Linked DNA regions of Neurospora crassa OR74A. The protein of the gene in region 3 purifies or fractionates together with the protein of the main gene of each other region. This does not show direct contact. Links are inferred from orthologs where the notes say so. Each region holds a gene or a part of one and is shown on either strand. Other genes may lie near its edges. The genes, in order: NCU07956, NCU01008, NCU03794, NCU01595, NCU06418, NCU08668 and NCU09843.

Evidence for each region.
Region 1: the proteins of NCU03794 (region 3) and NCU07956 purify together in Saccharomyces cerevisiae (affinity purification with mass spectrometry; 4 studies listed by BioGRID, with this or other methods). This does not show direct contact. The link is inferred for Neurospora crassa OR74A from reciprocal best matches to the Saccharomyces cerevisiae genes PWP2 and PNO1.
Region 2: the proteins of NCU03794 (region 3) and NCU01008 purify together in Saccharomyces cerevisiae (affinity purification with mass spectrometry, with the first as the bait; 5 studies listed by BioGRID). This does not show direct contact. The link is inferred for Neurospora crassa OR74A from reciprocal best matches to the Saccharomyces cerevisiae genes PWP2 and IMP3.
Region 4: the proteins of NCU03794 (region 3) and NCU01595 purify together in Saccharomyces cerevisiae (affinity purification with mass spectrometry, with the first as the bait; 6 studies listed by BioGRID). This does not show direct contact. The link is inferred for Neurospora crassa OR74A from reciprocal best matches to the Saccharomyces cerevisiae genes PWP2 and SOF1.
Region 5: the proteins of NCU03794 (region 3) and NCU06418 purify together in Saccharomyces cerevisiae (affinity purification with mass spectrometry, with the first as the bait; 3 studies listed by BioGRID). This does not show direct contact. The link is inferred for Neurospora crassa OR74A from reciprocal best matches to the Saccharomyces cerevisiae genes PWP2 and DBP8.
Region 6: the proteins of NCU03794 (region 3) and NCU08668 purify together in Saccharomyces cerevisiae (affinity purification with mass spectrometry; 3 studies listed by BioGRID). This does not show direct contact. The link is inferred for Neurospora crassa OR74A from reciprocal best matches to the Saccharomyces cerevisiae genes PWP2 and ESF2.
Region 7: the proteins of NCU03794 (region 3) and NCU09843 purify together in Saccharomyces cerevisiae (affinity purification with mass spectrometry, with the first as the bait; 7 studies listed by BioGRID). This does not show direct contact. The link is inferred for Neurospora crassa OR74A from reciprocal best matches to the Saccharomyces cerevisiae genes PWP2 and UTP15.

Annotation. Positions count from the first base shown.
Region 1 is NC_026504.1:1,226,305-1,229,760, forward strand, and holds NCU07956 (pre-rRNA-processing protein PNO1), read right to left. Parts: upstream 2,261-3,456; 5' UTR 2,010-2,260; coding exon 1,714-2,009; intron 1,646-1,713; coding exon 1,338-1,645; intron 1,275-1,337; coding exon 1,105-1,274; 3' UTR 501-1,104; downstream 1-500. Other genes in the region: NCU07957 (hypothetical protein), read left to right, coding at 1-4; pod-1 (mitochondrion biogenesis protein), read left to right, coding at 2,689-3,456. UniProt on the Saccharomyces cerevisiae protein: Required for small ribosomal subunit (SSU) synthesis. Has a role in the processing of early nucleolar and late cytoplasmic pre-RNA species. Recruits DIM1 to nucleolar pre-RNAs.
Region 2 is NC_026505.1:2,664,392-2,667,637, reverse strand, and holds NCU01008 (U3 small nucleolar ribonucleoprotein IMP3), read right to left. Parts: upstream 1,877-3,246; 5' UTR 1,678-1,876; coding exon 1,577-1,677; intron 1,518-1,576; coding exon 1,487-1,517; intron 1,409-1,486; coding exon 1,385-1,408; intron 1,318-1,384; coding exon 1,207-1,317; intron 1,152-1,206; coding exon 867-1,151; 3' UTR 501-866; downstream 1-500. Other genes in the region: NCU01007 (mito ribosomal protein S18), read left to right, coding at 2,348-2,447, 2,544-2,956, 3,119-3,246. UniProt on the Saccharomyces cerevisiae protein: Required for the early cleavages at sites A0, A1 and A2 during 18S ribosomal pre-RNA processing.
Region 3 is NC_026505.1:2,437,194-2,441,453, forward strand, and holds the start of NCU03794 (periodic tryptophan protein 2), read right to left. Parts: upstream 2,801-4,260; 5' UTR 2,627-2,800; coding exon 2,496-2,626; intron 2,429-2,495; coding exon 1-2,428. Other genes in the region: NCU03795 (cell division control protein 12), read left to right, coding at 3,865-3,969, 4,041-4,203. UniProt on the Saccharomyces cerevisiae protein: Required for bud-site selection and cell separation. Also involved in nucleolar processing of pre-18S ribosomal RNA.
Region 4 is NC_026502.1:2,998,065-3,001,755, reverse strand, and holds NCU01595 (SOF1), read right to left. Parts: upstream 2,490-3,691; 5' UTR 2,233-2,489; coding exon 2,227-2,232; intron 2,147-2,226; coding exon 1,115-2,146; intron 1,055-1,114; coding exon 755-1,054; 3' UTR 501-754; downstream 1-500. Other genes in the region: rpn-6 (26S proteasome non-ATPase regulatory subunit 11), read left to right, coding at 3,012-3,196, 3,269-3,351, 3,427-3,691. UniProt on the Saccharomyces cerevisiae protein: Required for ribosomal RNA processing.
Region 5 is NC_026503.1:1,328,383-1,332,409, reverse strand, and holds NCU06418 (ATP-dependent RNA helicase dbp-8), read left to right. Parts: upstream 1-1,227; 5' UTR 1,228-1,661; coding exon 1,662-2,479; intron 2,480-2,552; coding exon 2,553-3,615; 3' UTR 3,616-3,792; downstream 3,793-4,027. UniProt on the Saccharomyces cerevisiae protein: ATP-binding RNA helicase involved in 40S ribosomal subunit biogenesis and is required for the normal formation of 18S rRNAs through pre-rRNA processing at A0, A1 and A2 sites. Required for vegetative growth.
Region 6 is NC_026504.1:4,160,041-4,163,268, reverse strand, and holds NCU08668 (pre-rRNA-processing protein esf-2), read right to left. Parts: upstream 1,957-3,228; 5' UTR 1,783-1,956; coding exon 1,218-1,782; intron 1,144-1,217; coding exon 686-1,143; 3' UTR 501-685; downstream 1-500. Other genes in the region: NCU08669 (betaine aldehyde dehydrogenase 2), read left to right, coding at 2,490-2,894, 2,954-3,228. UniProt on the Saccharomyces cerevisiae protein: Involved in the small subunit (SSU) processome assembly and function, and in the 18S rRNA synthesis. Required for the early cleavages at sites A0, A1 and A2. Stimulates DBP8 RNA helicase ATPase activity.
Region 7 is NC_026505.1:5,923,452-5,927,688, forward strand, and holds NCU09843 (WD repeat containing protein 57), read right to left. Parts: upstream 2,783-4,237; 5' UTR 2,601-2,782; coding exon 930-2,600; 3' UTR 501-929; downstream 1-500. Other genes in the region: NCU09844 (amidohydrolase), read right to left, coding at 4,133-4,237. UniProt on the Saccharomyces cerevisiae protein: Involved in nucleolar processing of pre-18S ribosomal RNA. Required for optimal pre-ribosomal RNA transcription by RNA polymerase I together with a subset of U3 proteins required for transcription (t-UTPs).

The DNA.
Region 1 (3,456 bases), on a different chromosome or scaffold from region 3:
GTAGTGTATGACCTGGAGAATAAACATGGAGACTGGGTTTTGGGAGACGTTATTCGCACATTTCTTTAGCTGTTATGGGGTTGGAGTTTACCGGGCTTATTCGTCAGGCCTACGAAATCGGCGGTGACTAGTGGATTATTGTTTTTGCTTAAAGTTGTGACAGATGATTACGGAGTTTGGAGTGTTGCAAGTCCTTCCAGGACACGGTTCATGGTGCGGAGGTGGTACCCTAGCTCTTCAGAAGATACCCATACGTATATCACTTTTTGCTACGTCTTGCCTTCACTTTATTTCAACAAGCTTGATGAGTCATGGGAGTTGGTCAGTCAGAGCACAAAAAGAGCCTCCTCGGGTTAAGATGGTCTCATCCCACCTATCGTAGGTGAATATCGAGGGGTTTGACTATGCTCTATCTGCTATTTCGATATACGGTTCGCCATCTGGACTGTAAAACAAACAAGACCTTTACTTATGCGGAACAAGCGAGATAAGAGAATGGATGGAAATAACTACTACTTGTATGACCTGAAGAAACCAATCTATCGTGGCTCACCTGGCTACATTGGTGCCCATCACATCAGCTCCTTACATTTTGCTTGATTTGCCGTCACCATGGAATTGAACCTCAACCAAATGAGCGCACTGGATCAGTTTCCCACATCACTTTCTCTGCACAATAATCGACCTTGCCAGCCAATATGCACTAAACCGCCTTTTGGTGAATATCTCTGTTCATTGTCTTCTCTTCTCGTCCTCCGGGTATAGATCATAACCACACATTGAAAGATTCGCAAGGCGGTAGCTCCCCAATATCCCGTCCTCTTCCTCCCGCTTCTACACACCTTCGTAGATATCCCCAGCATGACTGACTGAATCGCCCATTTCAAACTCTCCAAACTCAAAGCAAAAGCATAATGAACTCCTAAACGCCAGAACCCTTTTTAAGCGTAGCTCCCGAAATGCCACCTTCGCCCCTTATGTGATGAAAACCGTCGATTTTTTGTTGACTGAACCATGCAGCCCCGTGCGTGAACCATTCATTAGGTGAGAATAGCGGCAATAGAAGTGTAACACATTGTTGCCGTTTTTCGTGAAAGAAAGAGCTTAGAATCTCTCCTTTTGCCTCGAGGCAATGATCCGGAGGTTGTTGTACACCTTGCCGGGCTGGTGTCCGAGAATGAGGGAGACGACGGACTCGCGGGCCATGCCAATGTTCTCGAAGGCACCGAGGATATGAACGCGGGAGCCGGCGAGGACGATTCTGGTTTTTGTGGCTTTTCACATCTTGTCAGTACTTCTGCGTCATCTCTTCCATTCTCCCATAATGGTGAACGTACCATTCTCAATCGCAAACTTGGTCTTTCCGTCCTTGCCTGCAATACGACCAATCGCACGTCCCAGAGCATCGGGGCCAAGGGTCTGACGGACATCCTTGACATCGAAGGACTGGATATAGAGCGAATCGAGACGGAGCAGGGCAATGGCGTCGTCAATGTCGAAGCCCATGGCGAAGGCGGAGACGAAATCGGCACCCATCTGCAGGGATTCGGGGGTGGTGGTGTGTCTGCTGGAGCGGAGCTCGACGCGCTTCTCCTTGATGTTCATGCGGACCTGGAGCTTGCAGTGCTCTACAAGTGGGGGGTAGCTGATTGGAAAACAGTCAGTCTTCCTTGCCCAAACATTCACACATGTTTCCGTAGTTTTCCGTCTCACATCTTGGTCCAATTGGCCTTGAGGGCCGACATGCGGTTTGGCGGGATACCAATTTTCCTGGTCTCTGCGCGGCGAATGATCTGGACGTCCTGGCCGGGGGCGAAACGGGGGCGGCCCTCCTCGTCTACAGCCATCTGCACATCTTGGTCATTGGAAGGGGGAGCGGCGGCGCTGGGATCGGTGAGGTTGACGGCCTCGTTGACATCGAGAATGAGCTCGTCCTCTTGCTCGGTCTGGATAGGAATCTGGGCGGCGGGAGCCTTGACAGGCTGACGAAGTGCTGTTGGCGCAGGCATGTTGGGCGAGATGTGTTGTTTATCGGTGGGTGATGGTCAAGGGGCCGAGTCGGGTTGTTTGTTGATTAAAGTCGGTAGTATTTTGGGAAATCGCCGGCCAAGAGTAATGGCAGATTTTTCGAAAATCGGGTGGAGGAGAGACTGGTGACGGGCGACGAAAGAAGTGTCGGGATGCTGGGTTACAGTCGTGAATTGCGGAGATCTGGGAGTCGAAGTTCTGCCTTTTTGCGCCGTCGGTCTCTAGAATTTTGATGTTTATCGATTTTGATAGCGCAGAGGGGAAATTCTTGACAAAAAGCAGTGGATCCACAAAAGAGTACCCAAGTGAAGCTTATCGATTGGCTGCATGGGGGCTAGGACCCTTGCCAATCGCAACGCCCATGCACTAACAGTTACCGAGGAATCCCTGTAATCCCAAGGTTAGCGTCATTGACGCACTTTTGACGGGGACCTGGACCGGCAGCTTTTTCAAACTCCAGGTTCTTGGTCAGAGCAGGAGCACCATCATATGTCATTCTAGACTCGGCCCACCACCAAGCAACAACATCTGATTTTCAGCCTCGAGGACCGACCATGGATACGGCACCGAGCTGTCGTCATCACCATCGTCGCTGAAAACATAGGAAAAAAAAAAGGAACAGGTCGGTCCCTTACTCGGTCGACAGTATGAATTTCAACAATGTCTACTAGCGCTACGACGACCCAGCTGGGCCGCCAGCTATGGTCTTCAGTACGAGATCTTCACACCACCTCGAATCTCTTCACAGCCGCGATACTGCTTCCAACTTGTCAGCCATTACTGAGTCGTCAAAGTCTTGGACTTGGCCCCTCGACATCGCTGGGGTCCCATCAGCGATACGGACAGCAGCAGAGCACGCGACAATTTACCTCTTCCGCAAGTCGCTTTTTCTTCCCAGCAACAAAATCGCAAAGACTACACTATCAACAGTCACAACCATCCCATAATGTCCTACGAAGCTGTACCTCCGGAGGCCTACTCCTCCTTGGGCTCACCACCAGCCCCTCTCCAACGAGCACGGTAGAGGCATCCGCACTATCCGGCAATGCCGCGCAAAAGGCAAAAATGGGCCACTTGGCTCGGCAGGCTTTACTCTTGCGAAGGATACGACAGAACACCACGACCACAACGTTATGCAAGACAGGAAAGCGATTCCAAAGTTCGGGCAAAGAGACCAAGGGTGATCATGACGAGACCAAGGCCGAAGCCAAGTCTTCTACAATTTCTCCTCAGCAAAAGTCCGAGCAACCACAGCAGCCACCGAATACCGAGACGGCTTCCGGTTCTGGTTCCCAGCCGACTCCCGCACATGAATCAATAGCAGATTCCATGTCTAAATACCTTCACCTTCCTCACCTCCCCCATTTGCCTCATCGGCCCACAAAAGAAGAGCTTCTGGCGGCAGCAAGCGGGTTCTGGTCGCGTCTC
Region 2 (3,246 bases), about 230 kb from region 3:
CTGGCGGTTTGGTGTCGGGAGGGCTCTTCCGGGGGACGAACTCCCACAGAGCGATGCTGATCTGATATGGAGCCCGGTGTCTCAGGGTGTCGAAAGAAATCCAACCTTGATTCAATGACAAGATGAGGATCAAGGTAAGGAGGTACGAGAAGTATAAGGAGACCTTGGTAACAGCAGAGAAGACAACCAGGAGTACCAGGACCATATAGGATAGAGATAAAGCCGAGGATAAAGGATGAAGTGAAGAACTGAATGATGCGGTGTTAGGAATACGGAGACATTTGTTAGGTCAGGTCTCGCTAGGGAGTGGGAGCGGAAGATGCAGAGAAAAAAGAGGAAATGCCAAGAAGAGGAGCAGGCCAAAGGGACGATTTTCATGAAAGAGTGAGCCATTGTAAATGAGCTACTTTACGGAAGGAGCGAGGCTCGTCGGATGTTTTATTTCGTGTGCTGCCAGTTTCGAGGAACGGAACAGAAAGAACGCAGGAGCACCCCTAAAACCCAGAAGTATGCCAGTGATATTGTCGGCTATTAGTCGGTAGTGGTTCGGAAGGAAGACTCACCAGGCTTTGGTCACAGTGAGACACTGCAAGTTCGAGTGGGGAGCCCGCAGCTGGTACACTTCCGCAACTCCGAGTGATTGACCTGTAAACCCGAATGGTGGTATCTTAAAATCCCTTTCACATATTTTGAATGCCTTTACCCTAAAACGCCACAGAATATTGCTCGCATATGAGCACTCCTCCCAATGCCAACTTGCAAACAACGCAGTAGTATGTCCTTTCCCAGTGATCCATTTTCCAGCCTTAGCTCCCAACGTACCATTACCACTTCCTGATATGCCCGCAGCCATGCTCTTCCGCCACTCAAAGAAGCTCGAAATCGTCCAACTTGTCGCGGTACTTCATAATGTTCTGCTTGATCTTGCTGCCGACAGACCAAGTGACGAAGTCCTCCATACTCCTCGTCACCAGGAAAGCAGGATCACGGACCTCTTCGACACCCACACGGACATGGCCCTGCTCAATCATCTTGGTCGCTGCTTGCACGGTCTCGGCCATACGAAGTCTGGTCATGACGACGGGCAGTCGCCTCCTGGCAAAGGCCGAGACTGTGACCTGGTGCTCCACCTGCGACAGCTTCGACTTGGACTGTGATTGGACGTTAATAACTGCTCGAGTTGAACTTCGATACCGGAAGACATACCGACAGAATTCCCATGTCGTAAAGCTTGTCGAGCAAAAGCTCCTCGTGCTTTCGCCTCACCTCGTTGTCTGGAGGAAGCAAACTGAGACGATGGGCGAGTTGGCGGAGGGACTGTGGCATATCATGTCAGTATGTCATGAACAGTTTCATATAGGTAAGGTTAGTTGATGAAACTTACACCGCACATCCTGTTGTACTTGTGCTAGAAGGGGGTCAGTTGTCATGGTCATTATGAAAAGTCACTGTGAGCCTCATCTCATCCTTGCTTGGATTAACATACATAGTCCTCGGGCTTCTGAATCATGTACCGTCTGTGTGACTGTTAGCAAGATGTTCTCACACAAAAACCACTTAAGGCGAATGAGCGTACCTGGCGACATCGTGATCTCTGTGCTTGTTGTCCGACTTGTAGTTGATGAAGTCGGTCTTCCGAAGAAGCTTCTGTTCCGCGTGCTTGAGCTTGCGGACCATGTTGGCAATTCGTTGTCTGTGTCACTGATGGTGTGCTGTTCTAGTTGGGTCGAGAAGTGTGTCGTTGTGAAAGGTATCAAAGATGCGGTATCAATCAGACGGGTGTGGAGGCGATGGATGGTTCAGTATCGTAATCTGATAGTAGCAGCAGCTGCAGTGGTGGTGGTGTTCTGGCGTTGAACTTTTGCTGCAATGAAAACTCTTGCCCCACACTTTCTCGCCTGCCGGGCCCCTTGCTTAGCGCACTCTTAGCCCGCAGCGAGCTCCATTTTACCCCATAAAATAAACCGGGACGCTTCAGGCTTTCCAGCAATCAGCTCCCGCCCTGCCAGCTGCCAGCCGCAAGCCCGCAACAGCGCCCCGGTCCGCGGCAGGCCCCGCCACTGCGCCGAAAAGAGATTGATCCGCCAAAAAGTGTCGCTGCCGGCCCGGAGCTCCAATTTCCAATTGCCCGCACCGACCGTGCCCGCCGCCGCCGCATCTCCCCGTCGCGACTGAACCCCCGATCCCCGATTCCCGACTCCGACCGATCGCGAAACGGGAGCTCCATTCTTGTCTGTGTGTGTGTGTGTGGTTTCCCCGAGAGGACTTGCACATCGCCAAAGCCCAGCTGTTACAAGCTGTTGTAACCATTACAACAACGACGACGACCACCACCACCACCACCACCATGTCGTCCTCTCGTCAATTCCTCTCCTCTGCGCTCAGGCAGTGCCGCGCTGCCGGCCAGAGGACCGCCCAGTTCTCGACCACCTCACCGGCCGCTGCCAGTATGTTCGCTCCGTCGATCGCAAACCCGATATGCCGCCCTCCACAACTCTATAAGCATAACACATAAGCTAACAACACCTTCAATCACCAAACAGTCCGCGACATCCCCACCACTTCCTTCCAAAATGCCCCGCGCACCAACACCAACACCTCGTCGCCGTCGAGCAACAACAACAACAACGCCGGCTCGAGCCAGTACAAGTCGGACATGTTCAACCTGCTAAACAGCGGCGCCGGCAGCCGGGGAGGAAGAGACAGCTACAACAACGCACGCGACGTCGACGGAGGACAGCGCTATGGCAGCAACAGCCAGAAGGTGCAGGAGCTGCTCCAGTCCGAGGTGACCTCCAACAACTACATGCGCATGATGAGGCGCCGGTGGAACAACGGCGACGTGTACGCGCCGCGCGACCTGTCACCGTACGAGATGAAGGGCAGGAACGGGGGATGGGTGGAGGCGGCGGATGTGGTGGATGAGCTTGGGTTTAGTCCGTTGGATAACTATCGTGTATGTTTTCTTTTTTCTTTTTTTTTTCTTTTTTCTTCTTGTCACTCCCTCCCCTCTCCCTTTCTCTTGTTCCTCCTCCTTCACACACCCCTCTTCCCTTCCCAATTCCATTGTCTCGAAAACTGGCCTCAGGCGAAATGCTAATTTCCTTGGGGACAACAGAACTTCTCCCTCATCTCCGACTACATCACCCCCTTTGGGCGGATAAGGCACTCCAAGGAAACCGGCCTGAAACCCGTCAACCAGCGCAAGATCGCCAAGATGGTGCGGCGCGCCATCGGCCTCGGTAT
Region 3 (4,260 bases):
AGTCTCCTTAGCAGCGCTCGCCTGACCGAGGAGGTAGTCAACCATGTAGACGTTTTCATCGGCCAACTTCCTGATCTCATCCCTCATCTTGGAAACAGCCCTTGCGACAACACGAAGCTCAACATCGACCTTGCCGCGGTTGGCAGACAACCACGCGCCGTGCTTGTCGACCAGAGCCTTGATCCAAAGAAGACAGAACTCAACGTGAGGGCTCTGCTCGGTCTGCGCGGCAACGTACCGCAGCAGCCTGGCAACGTACACGTTGGGAAACTGCTCGACCACCAGAGGGATGTCGGTGTAAGGGATGGCCTGGAAGACACGCTGGATCAGACCGGCCTCGTTCAAGCGGAAAGCCATGACGAGAGCCTTGAGGTAGTCCTTCTCCTTCTCGAGCACGGCCAGGGTAGAGGTGGGGGTGATCTCCATGTTGAGGTCAAAGGGATCGAACTGGATGGTGGTGTCCAGGCTGTAGATCAAAAGACCTTCTGTGGAGGCGGCGCAGAAAGCACTTCCGTTCGGGGAGAAGGCAACGCCGTTTACTCTCACTTCGGGATTCTTCCTCCGTGCGGAGGGGTCGCCGCGCTTGGAGCCTGGGAGTGACCTGTCTATCCTGTCCTCGAAATCGGAGGCCTCGCCTTGCTCGTCCAGGAGACCCTGGGGTCCAGCCTCGGTGAGAAGCTTGCTGTTGAGGAACTCTTGAGTGCCTTGAATTGAAAGATTGACGCTCACGGTGTACTTCTTCAGGAGAACCATGGTGGTGACGGAGTACAAGCAAATATACTTGCTGTTTCCGCCGGCCAAAAGGCACGATCCGTCTGTGCTGTATCTGATGGTGTTGAAAGCCTTGGTACCGGCAACATTGGCCGCAGTCCTGCGATCACCGATCTTCCGACCGCCGGAGACATCCCTGCGTCCATCAAGACCAGCTTGCTGCTCAGCTTCCGAGACCGACCAGAACGACAGGTTGCCGTCGAGAGTGGAGATGGCAATCTGGAGAGAATCTGGCCTAAAGGCAATGTCGAGAACATCCGAGTTGAGCTGGAGAGGCTCGCTTGTTTGTGTGCGGTTGAAGATGGACCAGATACGGGCAGTGCGGTCCCAACTACCACTCACAAGAAGACCGCCGTTAGGCGCAAAGGCCAAGGATGACACAGGGCCCTCGTGTCCCGAAAGACGATCTAGGAGCTGGCCAGTCTGGACAGACCAAATATGAATGTCGAAAGAGTCAACGGAGCCAGCCGCCACGATTTCGCCACTAGGATCAACTGCCATGCAAGAGAAAGATAGCCTTTCTGGTGCTGTAAAGGTCCTGAAGTTTCTGTATCTGATCAAGTCCCAAGCCCTGATGGAACCGTCCAAACTCGAGGTAAACAGGACATTGCCCTTCTTGGAGAACTCGCAAGCAGTGATGCCGCTCGTGTGCTCTGTGAAGGTAACAATGCAGAATCCCGATTCCGTATCCCACACCTTAATCTTTCCATCATCGGCGACTGTGACAATCCGCTGACCGTCCGGAGAGTAAACGAGGGAGTTCATCGAGTCGAAATGGCCCTGCTGCTTGAGAATGTAAGACTCGGACTGCCACTCCCACACCAAAAGCTGACCAAGCTTGGATGCGCCAAACGCCAGCCACTCGCCGCTCTTGTTGATCGTCACAAAGTCAATTTCGTTCTGGGAGATGCTGAGAGTGTGGATCATGTTGAAGTCGGGCATTTCGTAGAGGCCAAAGATACCGTTCGAGAAACCGGCAACCAGCAAGTTCGATTCGGGATGGAAAGCGGCGCATCGTACGGTGGCGCTGTTCTGCATGAAATAGTGCTTGTTGACTATCCTCCAGGCCAGGTCATCGTCGTCCACCATATCCTCGTCCTGTCCAGGCTTCGCAACGTATTGCCAGTCGAATACGGCGCCGTCCTTGCTGACTGTGTAAATCGTCTCTTGATCCTTGGAAAACCACGCGCCCACGACACCCTGCCTGTGACCGGACAGAACTGTAGGTGTGAACCCCTCCTCTTGATCAACACTCCATATCCTTGCTGTGAGATCCTTGGAAGATGTGAGGAAGAATCGCGAGTCGTGGGACCACTCGATGTGACGGACATCGTCGAAGTGTTGGACGTGGGTATGGTGCTTGACGAAGGGCGCAAACTCGAGCTCGCCGTCGGCGTTGGCGTCGGGTGTTGAGGGAACGTGCCAAACCTCGATTTTCCTGCCGAGTCCAACAATGAAGTGGCGCCCCGATGGCGAAAAGGAGAGAGCCGTTACTGGAGCCTTGAAGGAGAAGTGATATAGTACTACGCGCCGGGGCACGTTGGTGAGAATAGCTTGGCCATCTTCGTCTATGGAGAGTAGGAGGTTGCCCTGGGGCGTGAGACCGATACGCGCAATGTTCTTTCGGTGGGAGAAGGGAAGGGTATATGATTTGTTACTGCGACCGTGTTAGCCAGCTTACAAGCCATGCGCCAGGCAGGTGTGTAGGGAATCTTGAGACGTACTCGACAAGGTTAAAGACTGTCACCCTGTTGCCAACGGGCGAGAAGAGATGGGTACCGTCCGGGCTGAACAAGAGGTTGCCCTGGCAGTAGACTGTGCCCAGTAGATTAGAAAACTTGAAGTCGGTCTTCATTTTCAAACACTATTCCATGCCTCGACTGTCAACGTTGGAGATGGAGCAGAACTGGGATAGTATCTGGGGATTCGATTATGTACAGGAACTGGAGGACTCTTTCGAGTCTGTATAGGTAAGTGGAACAGAAGTTCAGTTACAGGCTGCTGCTGTTGCGCCTAGACCGCCCGTACGTTCAATGGCGATTCTGCCAGCCAAAAATTTCATAAACTTTTTGGCGGGGAATGGAGTCGGGTTAGCTCCTCGCTTTGGCACCAGCTGGCAAAAGACTTGGCGTATCTGGCAGCCTCACCGACCGCAGCGAGACCAACCACTGCACGGCACCACCAAGCACGGTCACCAAGCACAGTGCAAGGCTGGCAGAGCTGGCAATCAAAGGGTCAAAGGGTCGACCAAGTTTCCATGGCAATGAATGGCTGATCACCGCCAATGGCGCTAGCAGGGAAGGCACGCATCGATTAAATGCTCGGCGAGGGTACCTGGCAAGCGCGTTTCAGTGGAGAGCTGCCAGCGTAGGTCCGTCTCTGGGGACCTGGAATTGGGGAAGTGTGGGAAGCAAGTGGAAAAGGGGAGGGTCCACTCATTTCCCTGCCGCGCAGCCAGTCAAGAGCGGCCTTGTGTGGTGGCAGCTCTACACTACTGCAGAATGCCGGGCTCGAAAGGTGCCATTGGATTATATGGATCGTGTACCGTGCGCCTTCTCGGCATCATCACAGACGGCTGCCGTGGCCCCGCCCAGGCACCTCATCTGGAGGATGGAATCGAATGCTGCTTGCTCGCTGCTTGCTCCGTCCGTCTGCTGCCGCGGCCCTGCAGTGCCTGGAGTGCTTGGGGTTCAGTCAGTGTGGGCTAGGTTTGGCCTGGCGCTCCCGTCCCCGTCGCTGGTGCTCTCTCCTGCGTGGGTGTGTGGTGCTGGGTTGGGCCAGATGAATGTGGTGTGGAAATTTGAACAAGTAAATTCCCCTGAACGAAAGCACAGAGCTCCACGACGGGTCCCCCGTCCACTCACCACTGCAGTTCCATCCCCCGTCTGCCTCTCGCTCCCACCCGTCCACTGTCAACACCAACCTAATTTCGATTCCCATTCACGACCACCACCATACCCGTACACCACGCATCCCGCCTGACGCTCTTTTTCTCCAATTGCCGGTGCTTCTTCTCGCCGTTACAGCAACGGGATCGTGACTTAATCCTCTACCCATAATTATCTCCCAGTTTCGTGTTTCGCCCAGCTGAAGATGGCCCCTGCCACTACCGAGAGCGCCTCACCGATTGGCATTGCCAATCTGCCCAACCAGCGACACAAGATTGTTGCTAAGAGAGGCGCTGCTTTTACTATTATGGTGCGCTTCACTGTCCAAAGCTTGCCGAACCTCGCGCTTGTAAAACCAATGCTGACGGCGTGGGTGGATAGGTTGCTGGCGAGTCCGGCCTCGGCAAGACCACCTTCATCAACACGCTGTTCTCCACGACCATCAAGAACTATGCCGACCACAAGAGGCGCCACCAGAAGCAGGTCGACAAGACCGTCGAGATCGAAATCACAAAGGCTGAGCTCGAGGAGAAGTTCTTCAAGGGTACGACAGCACATCACGCAGGGGGACCTTGGTGTCTTGTAGGAGAGCTCTGTCTAA
Region 4 (3,691 bases), on a different chromosome or scaffold from region 3:
ATACCCAAAGCCCGGAGGTGGGCTCCCATTTTCTAAGGGCACAACTACAACTAGTTTGGTTGTGTTGATGGCTGAGCCACACTCCGACTGCTGTTTGCCAACCGGTCTTCGAGCCAGATCGAGACAGGAGAGCCATCTACTTGATCCAATAACGCAGGCCGCGCTAGATCTAGGGTAGCCCACATCAATGGCCACGGATGAGCCACAAACGACCCGTATCCTTCCCTCCAACTATCCCAACCCACGCCGTGACCGTCCGATTCCATGTCGTTCGTTCTTCTTATCCAGGCCATGAGGTTCATGCCAATGCTGCACGATGTTGACGCCAGTTTCTGGGTACTGGTCAGGTCCACGAAATCGACCGTCTGACTTGTGGGAAATCAGGTGAACCTTGATCAACCGGAAAGGAGGAATCGAGGAAAAAAAAGTGACCATGCAAAGAGAGTCAAGCAGCGAGGCCGGAGTCCACAGGGCGCCTGAAGGAGTGGTGTAGGTGTTTTGGAAGAGATGGGAAGACATGGTCGCTTTGCTTTGCACATAGAGACGAACACAGAAACAAAATACTATCGAATATGTGGTATCGAACTCCGTATAGACCGAGCGAGACTCCGCTGCCTGAAAGTCTCATCAACAAATAGCCTGACAATTTTCCCACTAAGAAACGCCGCCCAATGCAAAAGAAAATAGTAAACGCATAGCGTGAAGCGCGAGAGACCGCACAAACCATGGCACACAAAAGCCAAGAACACCGCAATTACTCCAGCTTGGCCAGGATAGCCTTCTCTCTCTCTGCCTTGCGCTTCTCGAACTGCTTGACGGAGTGTTTCCTCTCGTTCTCCTCCCTTCTCTTGATGGCCGCAAGCTCCTCGCGCTTGATCTCGGCCGCCTTCTTGACCACCTTAGGCAGGTGCCTGTGACGGGAGATGCGCTTGATCTCGGGCATGTGAGAATACCTCTCGACCAAGGTCTTGTTGTACTCGAGCGCCTGTCTCTGCTTGGTCGCCTTGACGCCGCTGCGTTCCGAGGCATTGGCACGCCACAAACGGACGTTACCCTGTATATCACGTTAGCTGTGCTGATCGAACAGTTGGAGAAAAGAAAGGAGACAACGTACATCGTCACTACCGCTGAGAAGGTACTTGGAATCCATAGTCCAGGTAGTCCGGAACACCCTCTGCATACGCTTGGTGTGGTACACATCGCGAGACATGCCCTGGTCACGGCGCCACACCCTGATTGTGCGGTCATAGGAACCAGTCACGAGCTCCTCGCCGGTAGGAGAGAACTCGACGTCCATAACCGCCGCAACGTGGCCCTTTTGGATATTCTGCGCCTTGGTGAAGTTCCTGGCGTCGAAGAGGTAGACGTTGTGATCTTCTGAGGCAACAGCCATGTTCATCGCCTCCATGGGGTTGAAGACAATGCGGTTGGCGGCGAACTTGAGAACAGTCTTGATGACGGGCATGTTGGTGCGCAAATCGAACAGAATAACGGAGCGATCTGTGCCGACGGAACCCACGATCGAGGTCTCAACCTGGTTGAAGCAAACATCGGTGATGGTGTCGCTGTGGTTCGGCCACTGTATCGTCTGAGGAGCCGTGCTGTGCTCGAGATCCCAAATACGAATGCAGCCGGCGCCCGAAGAGGCAACGAAGGAGTTGGTGTTGCGGTGGAACGAGAGAGCCGTGTATGGACCACCTTCCTGCCATGTCGCGAGTGGCGTTGGGGAGTCGGTCTTGGTGTAAGGGTCCCAAAGCTTGATGCCGTCGGTGGCACATGTGAGAAGCTTCTTGTCGTTGGTGAAGGTCATTCCCTTGACGATATTGTTGTGGGCGGCAGCCTTCCATGCTTCATCCCGTGTTGTGAGATCCCAGACCTTGACGATACCGTCACCCGAACCGGAAGCGATTGTGTGTAGCGAGTTCTTGTCCTTGGCCATGCTGTAGACACCCTGAACGTGGCCATTTCCTAGCTGGCCGAGGAAGGGCTTGGCGAAGACTCTCTCCAACTTGACGGCATTGAGGGCTCTCTTGTACTCGCGAGCGCGCTCGAAGGGATGGAGTTCGGGCGCAAGGTTACGGGGTGCGCGGGTGACGTCGTTACCGGGGGCCTGCTGGGCCGAGATGTTTCGGCTGAGGGCTTTGATCTGTTGTAGAAGTGTCAGTGGTGAGCCTAGAAGTGGGTTTGCGAATCTTGATGGGCGTCGCGTGTGGTAGGCCCAAGTACCTTCATGGTGACGGTGTTTCTCTGTTGATGATGTTGAAGGGGTCGTGGATGAGAAGGCTACCAAGGCCGACGGATATCGAGTGTGAATAATTGTATATGATGAGGCCGGGTATGGCTGAAGTCTGTCGGTACACCTTGTCGCAAAGCACAGGTGCTGTGATACAGTTATCGACGTTGGAATTAATGAATGGATGGATGGATGGATGCCGGGAGCGTCTGTCGCCAATTGGGGAGCACAGTCGGACACGGGCAGTTTGACAGCTCCCGTTCCCCTTCCTCTGGAGAAATTTTGGCGGGGTCTGGCGGCAAGAATCTTGACCGCCTTCTTGGCAGTTTGCTAAACGCTTAGGCTTGGAATGTTAGAGCTTCGCTGCCAAAAGGATGGACAGGGCCTGAGCTACCGAGAGCTGGGCTTGCCTGCCGTGAATTGACAGGGATCTGTAGGTGGATGTCTCCAGCTAATTACGTCGCGCCTGGCTACCTAGCGGTGGTACGTAGTGTACAGAGGTCTCGTTAGTGGACATGCCGCCTGCACTTGACTTGGGTAACAGCTGTGCTCCAGCAGAGGACGGGTGGTGAGGTTCGTCACGACAGAACAACCTGAGCTCCAACTTCAACACCACAACAACCACAACTTCCAAGCCGACACTCTGCGACCACCGACACGCCGCATATCCCCCCGCGACCTCGAGTAATCACCATCACATCCAATCCGATAGCCAAACTCTCGATTTATACTACTACCGCTTACCACTTGGCGACCGGGACAACCAGCACACGACACCATGGCCCAGGGCGAAGCATCAGAGAGAGTGCGCGAGGCGCAGAAGGTGGTCTCGACCGACCCCCGCCAGGCCGAGCAGATTTACAAGGATATCATCTCCAAGCCGCCATCAGTCACCTCTGACGCGGCCATCCGGGAATACGAGACGGCTTTGATTCACTTGGGAGAGCTCTATCGCGACGAGAAGTAAGAGTGGCTGGTGTATGTCGTGGTCATCGAGGAGGGGTACGGTCACTAACCTCCCATCACCGTGTACAGGAACTCACAAGGCCTTGTAGACCTCGTAACCCAGAGCCGCACAGTTCTCTCCTCGTTCGCAAAGGCAAAGACGGCAAAGCTTGGTACGACCCCGCCATCAGCTTTGTTGACGCGCTATACAAGCTCATGAGGATACTAACACTGGTTGATACATGCAGTCCGCCAGCTCCTCGACCTCTTCGAAGCCATCCCCGACTCTCTCGACATCCAGATTTCCGTCACCAAGTCGTGTATAGAATGGGCCACATCAGAGCGCCGCTCTTTCCTCCGCCAGAACCTCGAAACCCGTCTTGTCGCCTTGTACATGGCCAAGCAGTCCTACTACGATGCCCTGACGCTCATCAACGGTCTCCTCCGTGAGCTGAAGCGCATGGACGACAAGCTCGTCCTCGTCGAAGTCCAGCTGCTCGAGTCGCGGGTATA
Region 5 (4,027 bases), on a different chromosome or scaffold from region 3:
AGTTCACTGTGAGTGAGCGGCGTTTCAGAAGAGACAGCCTGGAGAATCTACAGCATGATCAGCTCAGGCCTTCAAGGTTAACTTCACCATCTTGGGGAGCCAACCAGGTGGATGAAACATGCTTGCTTTGATCAACACAATTGTTTACACTTGAAGCAGGTGATAAGTTATAGATGACAATGAAGGACCTCAGCATATGCGAATCGAGATGAATATGAGGTATATCATCAAGCCATACGAAGCATGATCATGCCATGTAAACAAAACACTTTTACCTCCTTTCATTGCTCGATATTATCATGTTGATACCTTGTTCTGGCCTATTTGCCTGCTTATTCGATGGGGGCATTTGGGGACCAAATCGGTAGGCCACTGTGCCAGTAAAGTACCACAACGTCAACATGGCCCATCATGTTCATCGAAATGCCCGAGTTGGGTAAGGGCCGATAGCCCATGCATCGCCGGGGCAAGCTCGCGTGTGCCCTACCGCGGGTTCCACTCCAGACTTGGCCCGTTTAGCGGCGGCCATGAGGATCCGTAGTCTTGGGATCATCGTCAACGACTGTCCTTCTGTGGCACTAAATCATAACACAAGAAGGGGGCCCGTTGAAGGACATGATCTCATCTGTCGTAGTTCGTCCGAGCATCAAGACAACGAACGAGCTGCATCCTTGAGGTGCTGTCTTTCAGCCGACCGAACAAGCTGCTTTCCCTTCTGTTATCGATACTTATACTCCTTGTGTAGACCTTGTTCGGAAACCGTGCAGTCAGCATAACACCACCAGAAGCTGGACATTGCAGTGCTTTTCCGACATGAACCTTGATCCTAGACTGCTCATGCTTCTTGGCTCATTCCCAAACAAGAAGAAGCTCTCCTATTTTTTGCATTCTTCCAAGCGCCCAGAAGTCGCACTATGGAGATCAAACCAACGGTTTCTTCGTATTCCATGAGATGGAATGTGGAAACGAACAACCCCGTCCAAAACTTAAGCGCCGATGGGTTTGGTGGCTGACGCTTGTTATGCGACGTTGGCGGTTCGCCGGCGCTTCGGCTTGCGTTTCAAGGTACACTGGTGGGTCTTGCTGTGATGCTACCCTAGGGGCAGGCCCAGGCTTGCTTGCTTGCGGTCCGTGTGCGGACGTCGGGTCTTGGCGATCTGTACATATTAAAAGTTCGTGAATGGAAGGACGATGGGTATATAAGTGAGAATGAAACTCTAAGGATATGGGCACTTTATCACGATACACAGCGGTTCATACCCTCATGGTATCGTTCTGCGAAAGACATGTACATAAGGAGATGGAGGACGGCTTGGTGAGGCTCTAGACCGTTGAAGTGTTTCTGAAGCACCGAGGCACCCCCATAAAGTCCAAAATGCCACGCTTACGTAATGACGCTCAATGTGACATTTTTACAAGCACGCTTTCCCTTTTCGGTCACTCCCGAGAACCTTGCTGAACCAAAAATTTTGAATTTTGTAGCGGTCGCAAGTCGTTATCAGTTTATCGACTGATAATCAACACCACAGGAACACACATCGAATCTGCTAGAGGCGCCCATCACGGTCCTGGAACGAATGCGAAGAGACATCTCGCACCAAACATAAACATCCGTCTAGACCTTTTGATTCCAACTCCCGCAAATAAGGAGCAAACCAACAATGCCGTCTGCCACAGCCGCAAAGGCCAAAAAGGCCAATGCCAATGCCAACCTCAAATCCAAGGTTAACAAGGCGCCCGCCGTCACTGAGATTGATGAACAATCTGGTCACTCTGAGGATGAGTCCGACTTTGGGTCTGAACTAGATGTGGAGGATGAGTCGGCTGCCTCAGATGAAGAGGACGAGGATGAGGACGAGGATGAACACGATTTAGAGGAGGGCGTCTCAGACGAAGGGGAGGGCGTCTCAGACGAAGAGGAGGGCGTCTCAGATGAAGATGAGGACGAGGAGAACCAGAGCGCCGGATCAGGCTCAGACTCAGATTCCGATTCGCTAGACAGTGACGCCCCCAGAAAACGACGCCGTACCTCACCTACCATCGACGACATCGTTACTCAACTTGAAGACGAGGAAGAGGATGACACGCCTGTCGCCCCCGTCAAGCCTGTCTTCAATAACGTCCCATCCCGCATCAAGAAAAAGCAAGCTGAGGCGCCCAAGACAGAAAAGACCGAAGAGGCAACACCAGCCCTACCAGTACCAGAGCCTGCCAGCACAGTTTCTGTTCCTATCGACGCCAACACCACCTTTGACGCACTCAATGTCCGCCCATGGCTGGTCCAGTCTCTCGCCAACATGGCCATCAAGCGGCCAACCGGCATTCAAAAGGGTTGTATACCCGAGATTCTCAAGGGCAGGGACTGTATTGGTGGCAGTAGGACAGGTTCGGGTAAGACGGTAGCATTTGCCGTTCCCATTCTCCAGCAATGGGCTGCCAACCCATCCGCCATCTTTGGTGTCATCCTCACGCCCACCCGGTAAGTCCACTCCGAGTACCCCTTAACCCCCACAAACAATCAAACAATAGGTAGAGGCTAACCACTTCCACAGCGAACTCGCCCTCCAAATCATGGAGCAAGTCATCGCCCTCTCTCAGCCCCACGTCCTCAAAGCCGTCCTCATCACCGGCGGCGCCGACATGCGCAAACAAGCCATTGACCTCGCCAAGCGTCCTCACCTCGTCATTGCCACCCCCGGCCGTCTCGCCGACCACATCCGCACCTCTGGCGAGGACACCATCTGCGGTCTTCGCCGCGTCAAGTTCATTGTGCTCGACGAAGCCGACCGCTTGCTCGCCAACAGTGGCCACGGCTCCATGCTCCCCGACGTCGAAGAATGCTTCTCCGTCCTCCCTCCTCCTTCCGAGCGCCAAACGCTTCTCTTCACCGCCACCATGACGCCCGAAGTCAAGGCCCTTTCCGAGCGCCCGCCCATTCCCGGCCGCGCCCCCGTCTTTGTGTGCGAAGTCGACACCCAGCGGCTCGCCATCCCCGCCACCCTGCGCCAGATGCACCTCCAGGTGCCGGTCACCCACCGCGAGCACTACCTGCACATGTTCCTGCTGACCCCGCAAAACGTGGACAAGAGCGTCATCATCTTCTGCAACCGCACCAGCACGGCCGACTTTTTGCACCACTTGTTGCGCTTGCTCGACCACCGCGTTACCTCTCTGCACTCCAAGTTGCCGCAGAGCCAGAGAATCGACAACCTCGGTCGGTTCCGCGCCTCGGCTGCGCGCATTCTGGTGGCGACCGACGTGGCGGCCAGAGGTCTCGATATCCCCGAGGTGAAGATTGTGATCAACTACGACATCCCCCGCGATCCGGACGATTATATTCATCGTGTTGGTCGTACGGCGCGTGCGGGCCGCAAGGGTGATGCGGTGACGTTTGTGGGGCAGAGGGATGTCGATCTGGTGCTGGCGATCGAGCAGAGAGTTGGACGGCAGATGGAGGCATGGACGGAGGAGGGCGTCAACTTGGAGACGAGAGTGATCAGGGATGCGCTGAAGGTGGTGGGCGAGAAGAAGAGGGAGGCCTTGTTGGAGATTGAGGAGCAGAAGGAGGTGGGCGGAAAGAGGAAGAGGGGGAAGGAGAAGTTGAGGGCCATGTAAGCTGTCCTGTTGATGATAAGAATAGGGAGGAGAGGGGGAGCCGAAGTGGAGGAGGTAATGAAGGGAAAGGGGGTAGTGAATGATCTGATACCAAAAATATGTGTTGGGGTAGGGTGATAGATAAAATATTGAATAAGGGATTGAAAGAGATAAAAGCGATGCCAAGCTATTTTTCATATCTTGTGCCCATGGGGACTATGGCCCGGCTTCTACAAATTATGTCTTCGGTGAGTTTGACTCCTCAAAAGGATGAGCCACGGCCATCATTGATCCTTGTTTTCAGGTTGGAACAAATGCGAGGACATCCGGAGGATGATTCACCGAGCGGAGGTATGCATTTTGAAAGAGATTGCTTCATATCGCACTCCATTTCCTCACACATCATTGATTTCAAAGGCCAGCCCTCCGTCGT
Region 6 (3,228 bases), on a different chromosome or scaffold from region 3:
CACGCCCAGCACAGCAACTAGGTTTCAAAAGGTATATATGTTCCCACAGGGTACAGCCATCCTCGACCGTTTGAATACATGCATGGAAGAACTTGTGCATCTGATCTTCACTCAAATAACGACAAGAGCGGTCTTGGCGGATATGCCCGATGATATAGTTTGACCAGGACGTATATTGGAGTATGGTGTCCAGGCGACGTTTTGAGAAATGTTCGCAACCTTCCTCATCTACGTCAAGCATACGCTGGATGAGTCCTTGAAGTATGCGAAGGGCGTAAGTCGGGTGAGTCGTTAAATATGATCCCCTTTTGACAGCATTTGCGACAGGACAATTGGTGAAGTTGTATCGAGTGTTGACCGTATCGTCAGGGGCACTCTTCCTCGTGGCTGGGATTTGGAATGTGCTCATGGTGGGCCAATTAAACCAAACGCCGGCCGGTTTCTGTGCAGCGTCGATAAGTAGGGATATGACAAAGTGACGGAAATGGAGATGCTCTCATAGCAAAAGGAAATCAGGTTGGGTATCAAGATGACTGAAGGCAGAAAAATATATACAATTGCCTAAGGGAAAGAAAATCAACACCACCCATCTCTAATGTCTCGGAGTCGCTTTGACGACAGAAATCCCACAGGTACATGAACGCTCCGTGTCTCAAACCTATTGTTCGGGGGCCAAACGAGAAGGTTAAAAGATCTTGCTGAGCACTCTTTGTACTTGCTCGGGCTGTGTCTCATCGAGCTTCCTCTTCTTGGCCAAGGGTATTTGCTTGAATGTTCTCCTCTTATCGTCGTTTGTTGTCGTCGTCGTCGTTGCCGCCGCCGAGGGAATAGTAGATTCTGTGACTTGGGCGGCACCCTCACCGCCCGCTTTGCTGCCCTTGGACGCCTTCTTTGCCTGAATGCCCTGCAGCACCTTGGCCCTCTCCACGTTGCGGACGAACTCCTTGTTTTCTTTGGTTGTCTTGGAGATTTCGGCGCGCATTCTGCTGGATCGCTCGGCGTTCTCAGCAGCGATTTGTTCGGTCAGGTTGTGCCACTTGAAACCCTTGAGGTAGAGCAAGTTCCAGATATCGTCGCGGTAGTAGGATCCCTTCTTGCCTCCGATTGGACGGGCATTGAGGAGTTCGCATGCCTTTTTGGCGTCTGCAAACAAACGGGTTTTCTTGTTAGCGTCTTTGTACTTGGGTCTCAGCGAGTCTCACGGAATGAAGACCTACCCTTCTTCTTGACAAACTCAATCCAGCCTTCTGTAAACATCTTCTTTTTATTGCCTCCGCTGCGAATGCGCTTGCGTCGCGCAACTGGGTCCTCGGGGGCCAGGAAAATGCGATTCAACTTTCCGTACGGCTCCAGCAGGGAGCGCAACTTGGCAGGAGTCATGAAAGGTGGTACCCTGGAGATGTACACCACTCCCGACTTCTTGATGGCCTCCTCCGTGACGATGAGATTCTTCTTTGTGAGAGGCTTCGTCATGCCCGGAAGGTCACTCGCTAGTACCGACTTCTTCTCCTTCTCCTTCTTTCCATCCTTCTTTTCCTTTCCATCTGTTGTTTCCTGGCCGTCCTTTGCAGGTGCATCCTTGCTTTCAGCATCATCTTGGTCGTGTTCCTCCTCTGCGTCGGTAAAGTCGTCGGCTTCGCTGTCCTCGTCATCGCTCACTCTTCTGCGCTTGGCGTTACGGCCACCCTTTTGGAAATCATCCTCCGAGTCAGAACCGTGGCCCGCATCGTCGTCGCTATCGCCAGCATCGAGGAACTTGTTTCTGACATCGTCCTCCGGCATTGTCGATGGATGATTGACTTGTGTTTCTAATTGGTGGACTTTTTGTTGTATGCTGAAAGTTTCGTAGGTTGAATGATTGGGTCGTTATGGGGAGATTTAGGGCAGTCGGGTGTTTGTTTGCGTTGGAGAAGGATCACGACGCGATTCGCAAGTCTTCTTTTGGCGTGGAAGCGCTGGACGGACATGGCTGCTGCTGTTTCTCAAAATTTCTGGCTCCACTGGGGGCCACAGGCAGGAAGGGACCGTGCACGCAGGGCCGATAAGAGATAACAAAGTATGAATGGGAATGGAAGTTCAGGTTGGCTGATCCCGTCCCCGCCTTAGGTTCCTTCCGAGGTGGAGTTCATACACTGCAGACCCGACCCCGCGCTGCCAACAACTCTTTATCTTATCAAAGCTCCCCCGGCCTGCCGCCGAGAAACGGAGCGGGAGCCACTCTGTGTGCGGCAGTGTGATGTCGTGTTCCTGTTTGTTAGTGAGACGGCGACGGGAGGGGCGACATGGTGTCATTGGGTCATGGGAATCAAGTCGGTTTGCTCTTTTCTTCTTGTGGAAGGTATAACGAATTATAGTACTAAGTACTAGAGTAACTGAACTGTGTCTTTTCTTTCCCTTTGACTCGCTCTTCCTCCTTGTGACAACCAACACTGCATCCCACTTCACCATCCTTATCACTCGATACCTGGCCGATAAGCCTACTTGTAACAATGTCGGTCGAGGTGATCACCACCATCTCTCCCACCACGGGGGAACCCATCATCACTCGCAATGGCATTTCAGAGGAGGAACTCGTCCAACTGCCCGAGACTGCCTTCAAGGCCTTCCAAGGATGGCGCACTACCAAGTTGGAGGACAGACAGATCATCGTCAAGAAGGCCTTGAAGTTGCTGGCCGAGAAGCAGGATGAACTTGCAGAGGAACTCACCGTCCAGATGGGCCGCCCCATTGCTTATACTGCCAAGGAGGTTGCCACTGCCATCAAGCGCTCAGAGTATCTGCTCAAGATCAGCAACGATGCTCTGAAGGACACCGATGGCGAGGAGGAGAAGGGATTCAAGAGGTTCATCCGAAAGGTGCCTGTTGGTCCTGTTCTCATCATCTTTGCTTGGAACGTAAGTGGTGTCCATCATGTTGTTTTGACACTCCATCCGTCACCTCTAACTTTGCGCAGTACCCCTATCTTATTCTCGTCAACGCCTTGATTCCCGCTTTATTGTCTGGAAATTCGGTCATTCTCAAGCCCTCGCCTCAGACACCCACAATTGTCGAGCAGGTGGCCAAGGTGTTTTCCGAGGCTGGGTTGCCCGACGGAGTCATCCAGTACTTCCACTCGGGTTCGCCGACAGTGATTGAAACAATTGTGCGAAACCCCAAGATTGCCAACATTTGCTTTACCGGCTCGGTTGCTGGTGGCCTGGCCGTCCAGAAGGCCGCGTCCGATCGCAT
Region 7 (4,237 bases), about 3.5 Mb from region 3:
GCTGGTTCGGCAAGCATCTGATGCTCAAACACATCTTGGGTTGATGCCTTGGCTGCAAAAAACAGAAAAGACGACGACATAGTATTATCGTGTTGGAAACCCCCCGAGAAGGGAACGGCTCGCCATTGAGGCGGTCTTCAATGACAGAGTGGGACAGCAGTTCTGGTCGGGCTGTCAACAGTCAGCCCTAGGAAGGCACTTGGAAAAGCAGGCGTCAGAGGCAGACCGGGAGTTCTTTTCGATGTCTGGCCAGATACCAGAGGGTGGTGAGTGGCTCACCGGAGAGACTCTTTCTGTATCTCATTCTATTCTCCTAGTCAGGAGGGAGGACTATGACTAAGTGGAAAGTTGAAGCGATCTTCAGCGAGGACTTTGGAGCGAGATGTTTACGTTGTCATTTATAGTCATAATTCTATTGGATACGCTGAATGTTGACACTGCAATAAAGCTCTTGATCGTGGTGGCGTCGTCCAGAAGAGTCCATGGTCACGCAATAAGCCTGGCATTTGGAATGGCTTTTACTGATTCTCCTAAGGTATCTATCTCGAGGTATCTAGTCCCAACCCCTTATTTTATGTGACCGTATGTATACTTTTGTGAGCCCAGATTAGTACAAAAAGCCAAAAAAGAATGTTTGAACGCCGACGCCATGCAGGGCTTGATATCAAGAAAAAACCATGATACCTAACCGAACCAAACCGAACCAACACATCCGGGATCCTTTACCCTCTCCATTTTTTTCCCCCTTCCCCGTCCTTCCTGCTTTGTGGTATAACAACACATCCCATCCGTTCTTTACATCTTTCTTATGCTCCATCCATCCACACAGCTCATCCGTATCTTTCCATTCCCTTTCCCTTCCAACCATCATGACCTTCTTCTGGTCAAACTGCAGCCTCAAGGGCCTTGTCCGAAGCTCGCTCAGCTTCCTAAGCCTCAGCACCACCAATCATCAAACTCTCCACCATACCATTCGTGATAATCGCCATCTGCGCCTTCTCCACCTCCCTGCTCACCTTACCCGTCATCACAGCAAACTGATCCGCCAACTCGGAGCTGCCGCCCACGTACTCGCTGTAGATATCAAACAGCTGGAACGCCACGTCCACGCACACGGTCGCGTACCGCGGATCCGAGATGTACTTGATGACCCACTTCAACAAAGGCAGGACAGTAACTTCGTCGCGGCCTTCCAGGGCTTCGCGGAGGGCAGACCGGTGGCGCAGCGCCACCAACACGGACAGGGCCGTCACGGGCTGGTATTCCGGAGAGGACAGGTCGAGCACGGCATCCAGACAGGCGGCGTACCGGCCCTCGCGAAAGTCGCGCTGCCACGGCTTGAGCTTGACGCGGCGCTTGCGGCCTCCGGCGGAGTTGGGCGCGTCGGTGGGGATGATCACGTCGACGTTTTCGCCGAGCAAGGCCATGGATTTGTTGGAGGCGGCGTTGCGCTTGCGCTTGGCTTTGGCGGAGTCGATCTTGGCGAGCTTGGAAGAGGCACCTGAAACCATGAGCGCGTCTTCGGCGGCGCGGGCGCGGGCTTTCTCCGCCGTGGCGCCTGACAAACGGGTGCGCAAGGACAAAACGCCGGATTGCATGCCGACTGCTAGGTGGCGGTCTTCGTGGCCTGAGCCAGCGGCGACGACGGAGAGAGAGAGGATGGGCGAGGGGTACTTGGAGCCGGAGACGACGTTCCAGTTGGTGGTTTCAAAGACTTTGACGTGCCCGTCGAGAGAGCCGGAGACAACGCGGCGGCCGTTGGAGGCGAGGCTGAGTGACGTGACGGTCTTTTGGTGGTTGGTGATGAGGCGTAAAGGTTTGGCGGCCACGAGGTCGAGGACGGAGATGGCGGAGCCGGTGGCGGCCAAGAGGGTGGTGCCGCCGGGCAAGGGGAGGACTTCCTCGATGGGGTCGGCGTGCTTGAAGGTCAGCACGGAGCCGGCGGGGGCGCGGGCGTCCCAGACGCGGACGGTCGAGTCGTAGGAGCCGGACACGAGGAGGTTGTTGCGGTCGGGCATGAAGGCGCCGCTGCGGACGTAGTCCTGGTGGCCGGCGAACAGGCGCGAGGGCGCGTTGGAGGGCAGGTCCCAGAGACGGACCGTCTTGTCGTCGGAGCAGGACATGAGCGTCGTCAGCTCGGTAGGTGACCACTTGGTGACCCAGACGGGCTGCTTGTGGACGTGCCAGGTCTTGAGGATGACGGCGCGGGTGCCGGTGCCGACGTCGAAGACCTGCATCTTGCCGGAGTCCTCGCCGGCTACGAGGACGCGGCCGTCGGCGCGGATCTCACCGCTGTGGGCCTGGGAGTCGAAGCGGCCGATGGTCTTGAGCAGCTCGCGCTTGCGGATGGAGAAGATGTCGACGCGGGGGCCCGAGGTGACGGCGAAGAGGTCGTTGGTCTTGGCGGCGGCGACGAGGGAGTGCGAGGCGGCCGAGCCGTTGCTGGAGCCGGGGAAGCTGATGTGCGAGATGGGCCATGCTGCCGTCGAGGTGTGTGATTTCTGGTTCTTGAAGGACTTCCAGTAGCGCTGCTCGGCCGTGATGGGGCTGACGACCGTGGGCAACTTGAGCGTCGCCAGCGGCTGCACTTCGGCTGCCATGGTTACGGATTGGTTATGGGTGGTAGGTTCGTTCCGTCTAGTTCGGGTAGTGTTGAAGAGAGGATACTCGGTTATCGGAATCGGGGGAAGTCGATTAGGGTCGAAATCGGATTGGGGGAGGGAGGCACGCGTCGAGGTCTTGTCGTGGTGGTGACTTTGCGGGGCTCAAAGTTCACGAATTGTTGAAATCTCCAAGTGGGAATTTTAGTTTTTTTGACGGCGATGCGATGCAAAAGCCATTGGTTGGAGCCATCGATTGGAGGCCCCGCCAAGCCGATAAAGTTTACCTACAGCGACTAGGTACCATAGTGACCAGCCCCAGGCCAGAAAACGCCAAGCTTCCAGGGTCCCGTCCTCTTCACAAGTTCCTTCTTTTGATTGGTCTGCTTGGGCTTCCATGTCGTGTGAATGTTTGGCGTTATCTTATCGTGCTGCATCCCCGCCGTCGTGATTGTAAGTCGTGTAAGTTGTCGCCTTTATCAACTGGAGACAGTCGACTGACATATAATTAATTGACTGGAGTAAAAATCCAAGAGTATTTTGATGCATGACACGCTCATTGACAATCATCATCTCCTCGGTATGTGAATCTATGATTAACATGTCATTAGGGATGTGTATCTGGAGCATTGGCCTCGAAATGGTAGCGAGTTGGTAGTCTAGTAACCTGTTGCTGACAACAACAACAACAGCGTGCGTATTGATGATGACTTGAATGTTTTATCTAGCCACAGATGTATTTATAACGAAGCGCGTATGAAAACTACTTGAACCATGAGCTAAGCTTAGAGTGAAGACGGAGAATATCAATTACAAGTCACAACCTTTTCTCTTTACACTCCATTCAGTCAATAACAAGCGCCTGGACAACTCGTATGAAACTGATAACGGTTTGTGCAACAAAAACACCAACGTCACAAGCCGGCTACTCGCAGTTTGTTTTTTTTTTTTTACTCGTGACTTTGAGATGAGAAAACAAAATCATCAAGAGATGAAAAGAAAAAGAAAAAAAGATCAAACTTCGGAGATCATCAAACGCGCTGGCTGCTCGTCGTGATGGAGAAAAGCAATGTGAAACTCGCTTCTCATCCGATCACATGATTAATTTCTTTGTCATGACTGCAACTCAGTTGCCGAGCAGATGAGGTTGAAGACACTGCACCCCCGAGGCGGATGACCGACGAAGGAGAAGGAACACAATGAAGTCTCAGGGCCACCAAAGTGTTCAGGTTGTCAAACTGAAGTTCTAGTCTTTATCTACAATCTGGTGCTTTAACATAGTTGGATAGTATAAGTTATGACGACGACGACGGGGAGGCCCGCTGATACCTACCCATACTGCTGCTGCTGCTAGAGACATGGTACTACTCCTACTCGAATTCTCCTTGAGACCTAGGCCTAGAGGTTTAGATCACGGCTAATTCATGATATAGATACAAGAATAGCGGACAGAGACATGCCGTGTATCCTTTCATTCCTTTTTTTATTTATTTTATTTTCTAACACCGTGAAACTATATTAGTAGTCGCGACCTAAGCATAGTAATTCTTTGATAGGACATTGCTTAAGCGAGGAAACAACTTTAACGCAGCCTCCGACGCAGCGGACTGGACAAATGCCTCGTCCTTTTCCGCGCC